Neurospora crassa OR74A: one gene and its partner. The protein of the gene in region 2 interacts with the protein of the main gene of each other region in a biochemical or structural test. Links are inferred from orthologs where the notes say so. Each region holds a gene or a part of one and is shown on either strand. Other genes may lie near its edges.

What was found. The genes of interacting proteins can lie anywhere in the genome.
Region 1: the proteins of uvs-2 (region 2) and NCU04302 form a complex in vitro, tested with the Saccharomyces cerevisiae proteins (2 studies listed by BioGRID, with this or other methods). The link is inferred for Neurospora crassa OR74A from reciprocal best matches to the Saccharomyces cerevisiae genes RAD18 and UBC9.

What each region holds. Positions count from the first base shown.
Region 1 is NC_026505.1:5,554,884-5,558,172, reverse strand, and holds NCU04302 (ubiquitin-conjugating enzyme E), read right to left. Parts: upstream 2,018-3,289; 5' UTR 1,518-2,017; coding exon 1,483-1,517; intron 1,412-1,482; coding exon 1,251-1,411; intron 1,178-1,250; coding exon 1,154-1,177; intron 1,081-1,153; coding exon 827-1,080; 3' UTR 576-826; downstream 1-575. Other genes in the region: pex19 (peroxin), read left to right, coding at 2,844-3,137, 3,196-3,289. UniProt on the Saccharomyces cerevisiae protein: E2 ubiquitin-like--protein ligase mediating SUMO/Smt3 attachment to septins and PCNA. Seems to be involved in degradation of S- (CLB5) and M-phase cyclins (CLB2).
Region 2 is NC_026504.1:5,740,539-5,744,383, reverse strand, and holds uvs-2 (postreplication repair E3 ubiquitin-protein ligase rad-18), read right to left. Parts: upstream 2,401-3,845; 5' UTR 2,225-2,400; coding exon 1,678-2,224; intron 1,609-1,677; coding exon 650-1,608; 3' UTR 591-649; downstream 1-590. Other genes in the region: NCU05209 (hypothetical protein), read left to right, coding at 1-435; NCU05211 (hypothetical protein), read left to right, coding at 3,210-3,388, 3,441-3,531, 3,622-3,845. UniProt on the Saccharomyces cerevisiae protein: E3 RING-finger protein, member of the UBC2/RAD6 epistasis group. Associates to the E2 ubiquitin conjugating enzyme UBC2/RAD6 to form the UBC2-RAD18 ubiquitin ligase complex involved in postreplicative repair (PRR) of damaged DNA.

The DNA.
Region 1 (3,289 bases), on a different chromosome or scaffold from region 2:
ATGTTAGCTGGCCACACAGTGGAGAGAAACGAGCAGTAGTGTGAATATTTTCATCACAGTGTGCCGGCAGATTTTGTGCCAGCTGCACAGGCTGACAAGTCCTTCCAGCTCTCCAACGTCATTGTGTCAACGGCATAAAGTCCAACTCCCTTACAAACCTTAAGTGGGGAGAAGGGGGGGGGCGGGGGGGGGGGGGGGGGACGACGGGTACCCCAGGTTTCTCCGCAAGCGGAGCGTGGCTTGCAACCTTGCCGTGAGGTTAAAAACTTCTTGACAAACTGAAGACACAGATAAAGCTAGTGATAAATCCTGTACGGAGTATCTGACTGAGACTCTGTAAACTGGGTGCCCGATATTCTAGGTTTTCCGGACGTGAACTTCCCGTGAAATAACTTTTTGCTATCTTTTCTTGAAACGCATACCTCTCCCGCCTTGGTCGAATCATCTGCGATTGAAGATGACTCTTGAGGGTTCATCCCACTGATTCCACTACTCCCCGGCCGAACTCGACCGTGAGTTTGGTAGAAGGGAGATCTAGGTCCGAGACAGCAAGTATTGAGCACAAAAGTTGGGGGAAACGGACTGATGCATCGGGCGCAGCGTCGGTAATTTTTTTTATTTTTCTTAGACTCTTGTTCCTCGATCATGAGTATATAGAGCAGCCCGAAAATTGAATCGTGCGCAGGATCGCTATCAATGAATGAACTCCCTCCAAATGCCGCCACAAACAATGAATTGGTATCCCTAAACTCCGTGTCCCAGGTCCAGCAAAACAGAACTGCTCTCTCTTTTTCACCAAGCACCCTCACATTCGTGGGTTCCCAATCTATGGGGCGGCATTCTCCCGCACGACGCGCTTGATCCGACGTTCATATTCCTGACGATCTTTCTTGAAGAGATTGTACGCCTCAGCCTGGGCTGGGGACTCGGGATTGGGGTCATTGAGCAAGTCCTGGATGCCGAGCAGGATCTGCTTCATCGTGATGGCCGGCTTCCATGCCTCTTCTTCGTTGAGGATCGAGAGACAGACCGTGCCTGATGGGTAGACATTGGGGTGGAAAAGAGGGGGGACGAATTTGCCTGCTCAGACGCCAACATGTTAGCCATGTGATCGTAGCAAGGGGGGATGGACGAGGGCTAGCTTTCGGCGTACACTTGGGGGGTTTCGTGGGATATTCTGCATGCAGGAAACGTCAAGTCAGCACGTGTATTCTTCTGACTAAAGACACCGACCGGTGCAGGGCGCATACCATCAGGGAACGTGACGGTCAACTTGAACAGACCACCCTCCCAGATTGTCTTTTCTTTGCCCGGAATACCACATTCCCAAATCTTCAAGTCGAGCACACCCTGCTGGTTCTTCTGGGGACGGGCATAGAAGCCAAAGGGATGGTCCTTTCGCCACTGCTTCCTAGAGGGAGAGAATAAGATTGTCAGTCTGCTGGACGTAGGTACACTGTTGCGCAATGCTTTGCGGCGTACCGTTCCTCTTGCAAGCGGTTCTGGCACAGCGCCATGGTGGTTGACGAGGTTGACGTTGACGGGGTTTGGCGTCGGTAAAAGTTGAGCGGTGGCTGATCAACGTGGGATTCGAGTGATCCCTTGGACAAACTGAATGCGACGACGATTCAACTTCGACGGCCGGCTTCTTGCTAATGCAATGACGGCGCCGAGAAACGTGGGGATGCGGCTGAAGAGCTGCTCGGGTTGGTCACGGGGGGGATGGGCGCGGATCAGAAGGTGGAGTGTGGGAAGGTCCTCTGCAGGTAAGAGATCCAATCCTATGGGCCACGCGATATGTAGCAGCGTGGAGTATGTACTGCGTAGTAGCCCCGCAAGGTGAGAGGTGAAGGTGATTTGGGGTTTGTAAGGCCAAAAAAGAAAAGATGAGGGTTCGAATATCTGGAGTATATGCGGGGAATGATGCGCAATCCGAATGGAACTATGTAACGAAGTGTTTCCTGGGAAGGGAACCGACTGTGACTGATGTGGTAGACTTCGAATCCTAACGAGGCTGGAGGGAAGTTTCAGTTTGCAACGAAGTGACAGCAAATCGAATGGCAGGCGACACGCTCATTCAGTTATTGCCTGCCGGGCTCGGAGTTCCTGTCGCCTCGAATCAGGAAGGCGGAGAGTGGGTGAAGTGAATGGCATGGAAGCTCTCCTCTGCTTAACTTGTACTCCGAAGCTTGTCAACGGCATTTCACATACAGTAAATGGCCCATTTCAGTGACAGCGTGTAGGCTCCAAAATGAGCTTGATCCGCAGTCACACTAGCATCAGAAGATGGGATGACAGCGAGATGCCTGTTAGTATGGACTTTAAGTGCTCAAGCAACCTGATCAAGGAATATTGTCTGAAGCTGGAGGTGGTGTCCCTCGGCACACAGCGTACCCCGGTGGGCAATGGTGGGGTAACCGCCCTGTTCAAGCAGAGATGCGGGAAAGCGCCATGAGGAGTGAGCCGAATTGCACATGCAAAGGAAAACCCCCTCGTCATCTGAACCCTTCTGGATGTCAATCTCCATCTGACTTCTCTCCCTTCCATGTTTTCTTCCACTGATCACCCTTTCTTTGAAGGTTTTGGTTCGCTATACAATTCTGGATTTGCCTATCCCAGAGAGATTTTGTATACTCTCTTGATAGACCACTCCGCCTTGCATTAGCTTGGTTTCTACCTCAAACAGACAACTTCCCGCTTTTACCTCTCTCAAAGAGGTCGTGCTTCAGCGTGGGGTCAACCTTTTGCCCGAGCATCTGCTTCGTCTGTCGGAACGAGGCGCATCCACGACCGATCGACGTCTTTGCGATTTACACAACATTCTTACACACTCATACCGCACAATGGCTTCGAATAACGCCGGCGCAAAGGAGGAGGTGCCCAGGAAGGCCACCGTGGCCGACGAGTTCGACGATGACGTGTCCGACCCGGATGAGGATGACCTGGATGACCTGGATGACATGCTCGATGAGTTCGCCGCAGTAGACCTTCAAGCCAAGAAGCCTTCGGGGCCAGCAAGGCCAGACGCCGCTGGGGCAGATGGTGCCAAGGGGGAAGATGATGTCCTGTCCGAAGAGGAGTTTGCGAAGCAGCTGCAGGCCGGCATGGCTGATCTCCTCGGTGACATCGAGAACTCGGTAGGCGCAAACAATCGCAATATCCCAATTTCTGCGGCTCTAGCTAACTCTGAGCCAGCCTGAGCTACAAGCCCAGTTCGAGAGCATATTCAAGGAGCTAGGCGCCGCCGCCGCTGCCTCGGGTGCCGAAACACCTGGTATTCCCACCCCAA
Region 2 (3,845 bases):
CTGTGCGTCCAGCTCCTCGCGCTGGGTATCTTCCTCTTCACCTGCGGCCGCCTACACGTGCGCCTGCACCGCAACCCGACCAGGTCACGGGCAATGCTGATGGACCCTGGGGTGAGATGGCTGTGGTATTTTGGTGTGATGGAGGTGGCGGGGGCTATGTTGGTTGTCAGGAGTGTGGTGCGCGGGGCCGAGTATTTGGGGGGAACGGACGGGGTGGTGGCAAGTCATGAGTGGTTTGTCTATGTGTTTGATGGGGTGCCGATGGGGGTGGTGATGGCGGGGTTTTTGGTCTTGTATCCGGAGAGGGTGGTGAGGGAGGTGAAGCGGCAGGAGGGAATTTTGAAGGGGGCGGGCATGGGAGAGGAGTTGAGAGGCGGGGTGAAGGGGGAGTCGTATCCTGGGGGCGATGTTTACGTTGGGGGTAGGTGTCACTAGGTTCCTGTGGTAAGTAGTCTCTATCACTTTTACCCCCCGTCGACATCCTTCAGCGGACCCGGCCCACAGAAATGTGGGTCTTCTGGGGGTGGGGTGGGTTTTAGTGTAGAGGTTAAGTGGGTCTAGTCCGGATGGACTACAAATGTCATACAGAACACAGGGTAAATTAGTAAAGTAGGAGAAAAGAGTGCCTGTCATAATATATCCATCGGCCTTAACATGTCTCTGGATTTGGCTTCTTCATCCCACTCAGTTGAGCATCCCCAGGTATTGGTGGCTGCTGCTGCTGTGACGTCTCCCACTGCCGTTCCTTGTCTGGAGTCCCGGGAATGACTTGTTCCCTCATGGCGGTATCCTCTGCTATAGCATCCTTTCCAGGAGCTTGCCCGTCGTGTTCTGTATCCGCGTCATCCACCTGCCCCGGTCGTGGTGGACTTGATGGCGGGACAATATCCATCCGTGTTGGCGCTGCACTGCTTTCCCCCTCTCTCGCTTGTAGTGTCGGAAGTTCAGCTGGGCCAACATCCTCACCCCCACCCCCACCCTTGGTATCCGCCTTCTCCCCATTACCATCCAAAGTCTGCCTCTTAATCCCCTGCCGGGCCTGCTTGATCAAATCCCCAAAACTCCCTCCATACCGAGTTGCCCAAGCTTTGCCATCGAACTCCTTGTCCTTGATCTGCGCTCCAGTAGCTTGCGCCCTCGCCATGAGTCCGAGTCCCTGCTGCCCCCCTCCTCCTCCTGCTGCTGTGCCGGGATTCCCTACTGTCCGTTCCCATTCGTCTAGATCGCGAAGTAACTCGGACCGCTTTTTGGGTCGCGAAGAGTCGCAGTTGGCGTTCCAAAGCGTGATCCACTCCTTGTGGCGCTTCTCCAAGAGCTGGCGAGAACCGTGGGTGGAGAGGCCGAGTTCGGAGAGTTTCTTGCGCAGGGCGGTGTCGCGCAGCATGGAGTAGGCTAGGGCGGGGAGGCGTTCGGGTGGTTTTTGGTTGGTTTGAGATGTGAGGCGGGTGTTGAAGGATGGAAAGGTCGATGGCTGTGGTGTTTGAGCGGGGATCGGTCGTCGTTTGGATGCGGCCTGGGGAGAACCGGGACAAGAGGTGTCGAGGTGGCGGTCGACTTGCTGTTCCTTCATGCGGGTGAGGCAGATGGGGCAGGCTACTAGGCCGTCGTCTGGTGGGAGGTCAGTGATGATGATGATGATAGAAGCAACCCACGAGGAGCGGGAGGAGGGAAACGAACCGGGTGGTTGGTCGACGTAATCCGGGTCGGCTGAAGGTGTGGTGTCTTGCTCTTCTTGTAGTATTGCCGCTGTCAACTCGGCGGCTCGGGCTCTTGTTGATCTGGTTGACCTCCTCGGCCTCTTGCTTTCTGGGTCCTCCTCTTTTGGCCCCTCCATTTCGGTCGCCTTTCGTTTTGATGGCGAACTGGGGCCTGCTTGGTCTGGCAGTATCGCCTGAATGGTCGGTGGTGTCCTAGCAAACTCGAGAAGGACTTTGCGGGAGTTCTTGAAGGCTTCTACGGCTTCGCGCAAAGCCCAGTTGCCTCTGAGCTTGGATTCCTGGTCGGTGGCGCGACAGAGCGGGCACTTGCTGTCGACGGACAGACATCTTCGGATGCACAAGGAGCAAAAGGTGTGATTGCAGGATGTGAGCATGGGAGAGTCGTAAAAGTCCTTGCATACGTGACAGCGGAAAGCCTGTTCGACGGGCATCAGGCATGCGAGGGGCGTGCCCAGCCAGTCGGTCGAGTCGGGGACGTTGAAGGCTTCATCGCCAAAGACGTCCATGATAATGTCGGTTGTACTGAAGGGTATCCGAGTACTTTGTTGGTGGTGATGGCTGCCTTCGTTCTACCTGGAAGCCTGGAAGTAGTATTGTAGAAGAGACGGAAGATGTGAGACGCGATGTCTGCAAGTCGGACGAGACTGGTCGCGACTTTGTCGAGGAGGAGAATTCCATTACACTGTATTTACACAAACTGGCCGAGGGTCAGCAAGAATACCGAAGAGTGACCCGGGTATCTAGCACTCGGGATCTTTTCCCTGGGAATTGCTCTTTCAGTTGGTGTTTTTGTTTCAAGTTAAACATGGCTCTCTGAACATCTGCACTGCCATTATTCAACATTTACAGCTCTTTGTGGCCAACCTCTTACTTGCAGACCTTTGATCTCTCCATGACGGTATTGATTGTGCCCACGATACGGTAATGACAGGGCCTGCACGTGAATTGGCGACGGGAAGGCGTGCAGCGGGGGTGTGTTCTGGGGCCTTCAGTTTCCAGGCACAAAAGCGCTGCAACAGTGCAGTGGAAACAGAAGCCCCACCTCTTCGCTCCCCTCAGCCCAGACTATTCCCTTTTGGGCATCAACCAAAACAAAGACTGGAGCGGATTGGGTACTAACAATTGAAACCAAGACAAGGGAATTTGCTCCGGCAACAGGAACTCCATCCCAGGTCAGGTCAGGTCAGGTCTCCGATCCCTCGCTTTTTACTTGGTTTGTTTGACTTTGACTTTCTCTTTGTTGCTTTGACTCGATCGACGCAATCCCGTCATCCCTCCGACAACCACCATTATACCACATCGCCAGCCTCGTCGCCCACCTCCCTCCCTTTCTTTGACCAACTAATCATACCAATGCTTTGAACATCTCACTTGTTGCCATTCCTTTCTTTTCCGATCATTGCTTGGGGGTTTTTTTTTTTTTTAGAGCTTTCCCCACATCCCCAAATCCGGTTTGTTGACTTTTGGCGCCAAAGTAAACAAACAGCAAAAATGGCGATGCGCAAGGCACCACGTCTGCCCGTCGGCTCGGCAGCGTGGGTTGCAGAAGAGCGCGCATCGGCGCTCAAGGTGGCAGAGGAGGAAGTCGAAGAGTTCTCGTATGCGGCGCGCAATGAGATGGACTGGCTGAACGAGCACATGGAGGACATTTTCTTGGGCGAGAACCAAATGTGCGTTGTCTTTGTTTTATTTCCCTCTCTTTGTCTCGCTGACCAGGAACAGGAACATTGCCGAAATCTTCAAAACGCCAGCACGACCACGAGGCAAGACACCGCGGACAATTCGCAAAGGGCCCAATACCGAAGTGAGAGTGGTAAGCATCCAGACAGCGTCCATCATTCTTCTGCGACGGGCGACCAAGAGTGATTGATTGATTGATTGATTTTGTTCTAACCCACAGCAGCCCTTGGCCAGCATCTTCTCAGCGACGCCCAAGGGTGTGACACCTAATCCCTTCGTCCTCGCGCCGCCCGCGAACAACTCGTCATGGACGCCCAAGATCAGGCCCGATACGCCGGAAGCCGACGTCGAAGCTGATGACGAAGCCGATGATGTCCCCAAGAATCCCACGACTCCCTCGACGCGCCGTGCGAGCCCGCGAAAATCAGCTGCCGCAAAGTCGCCAAG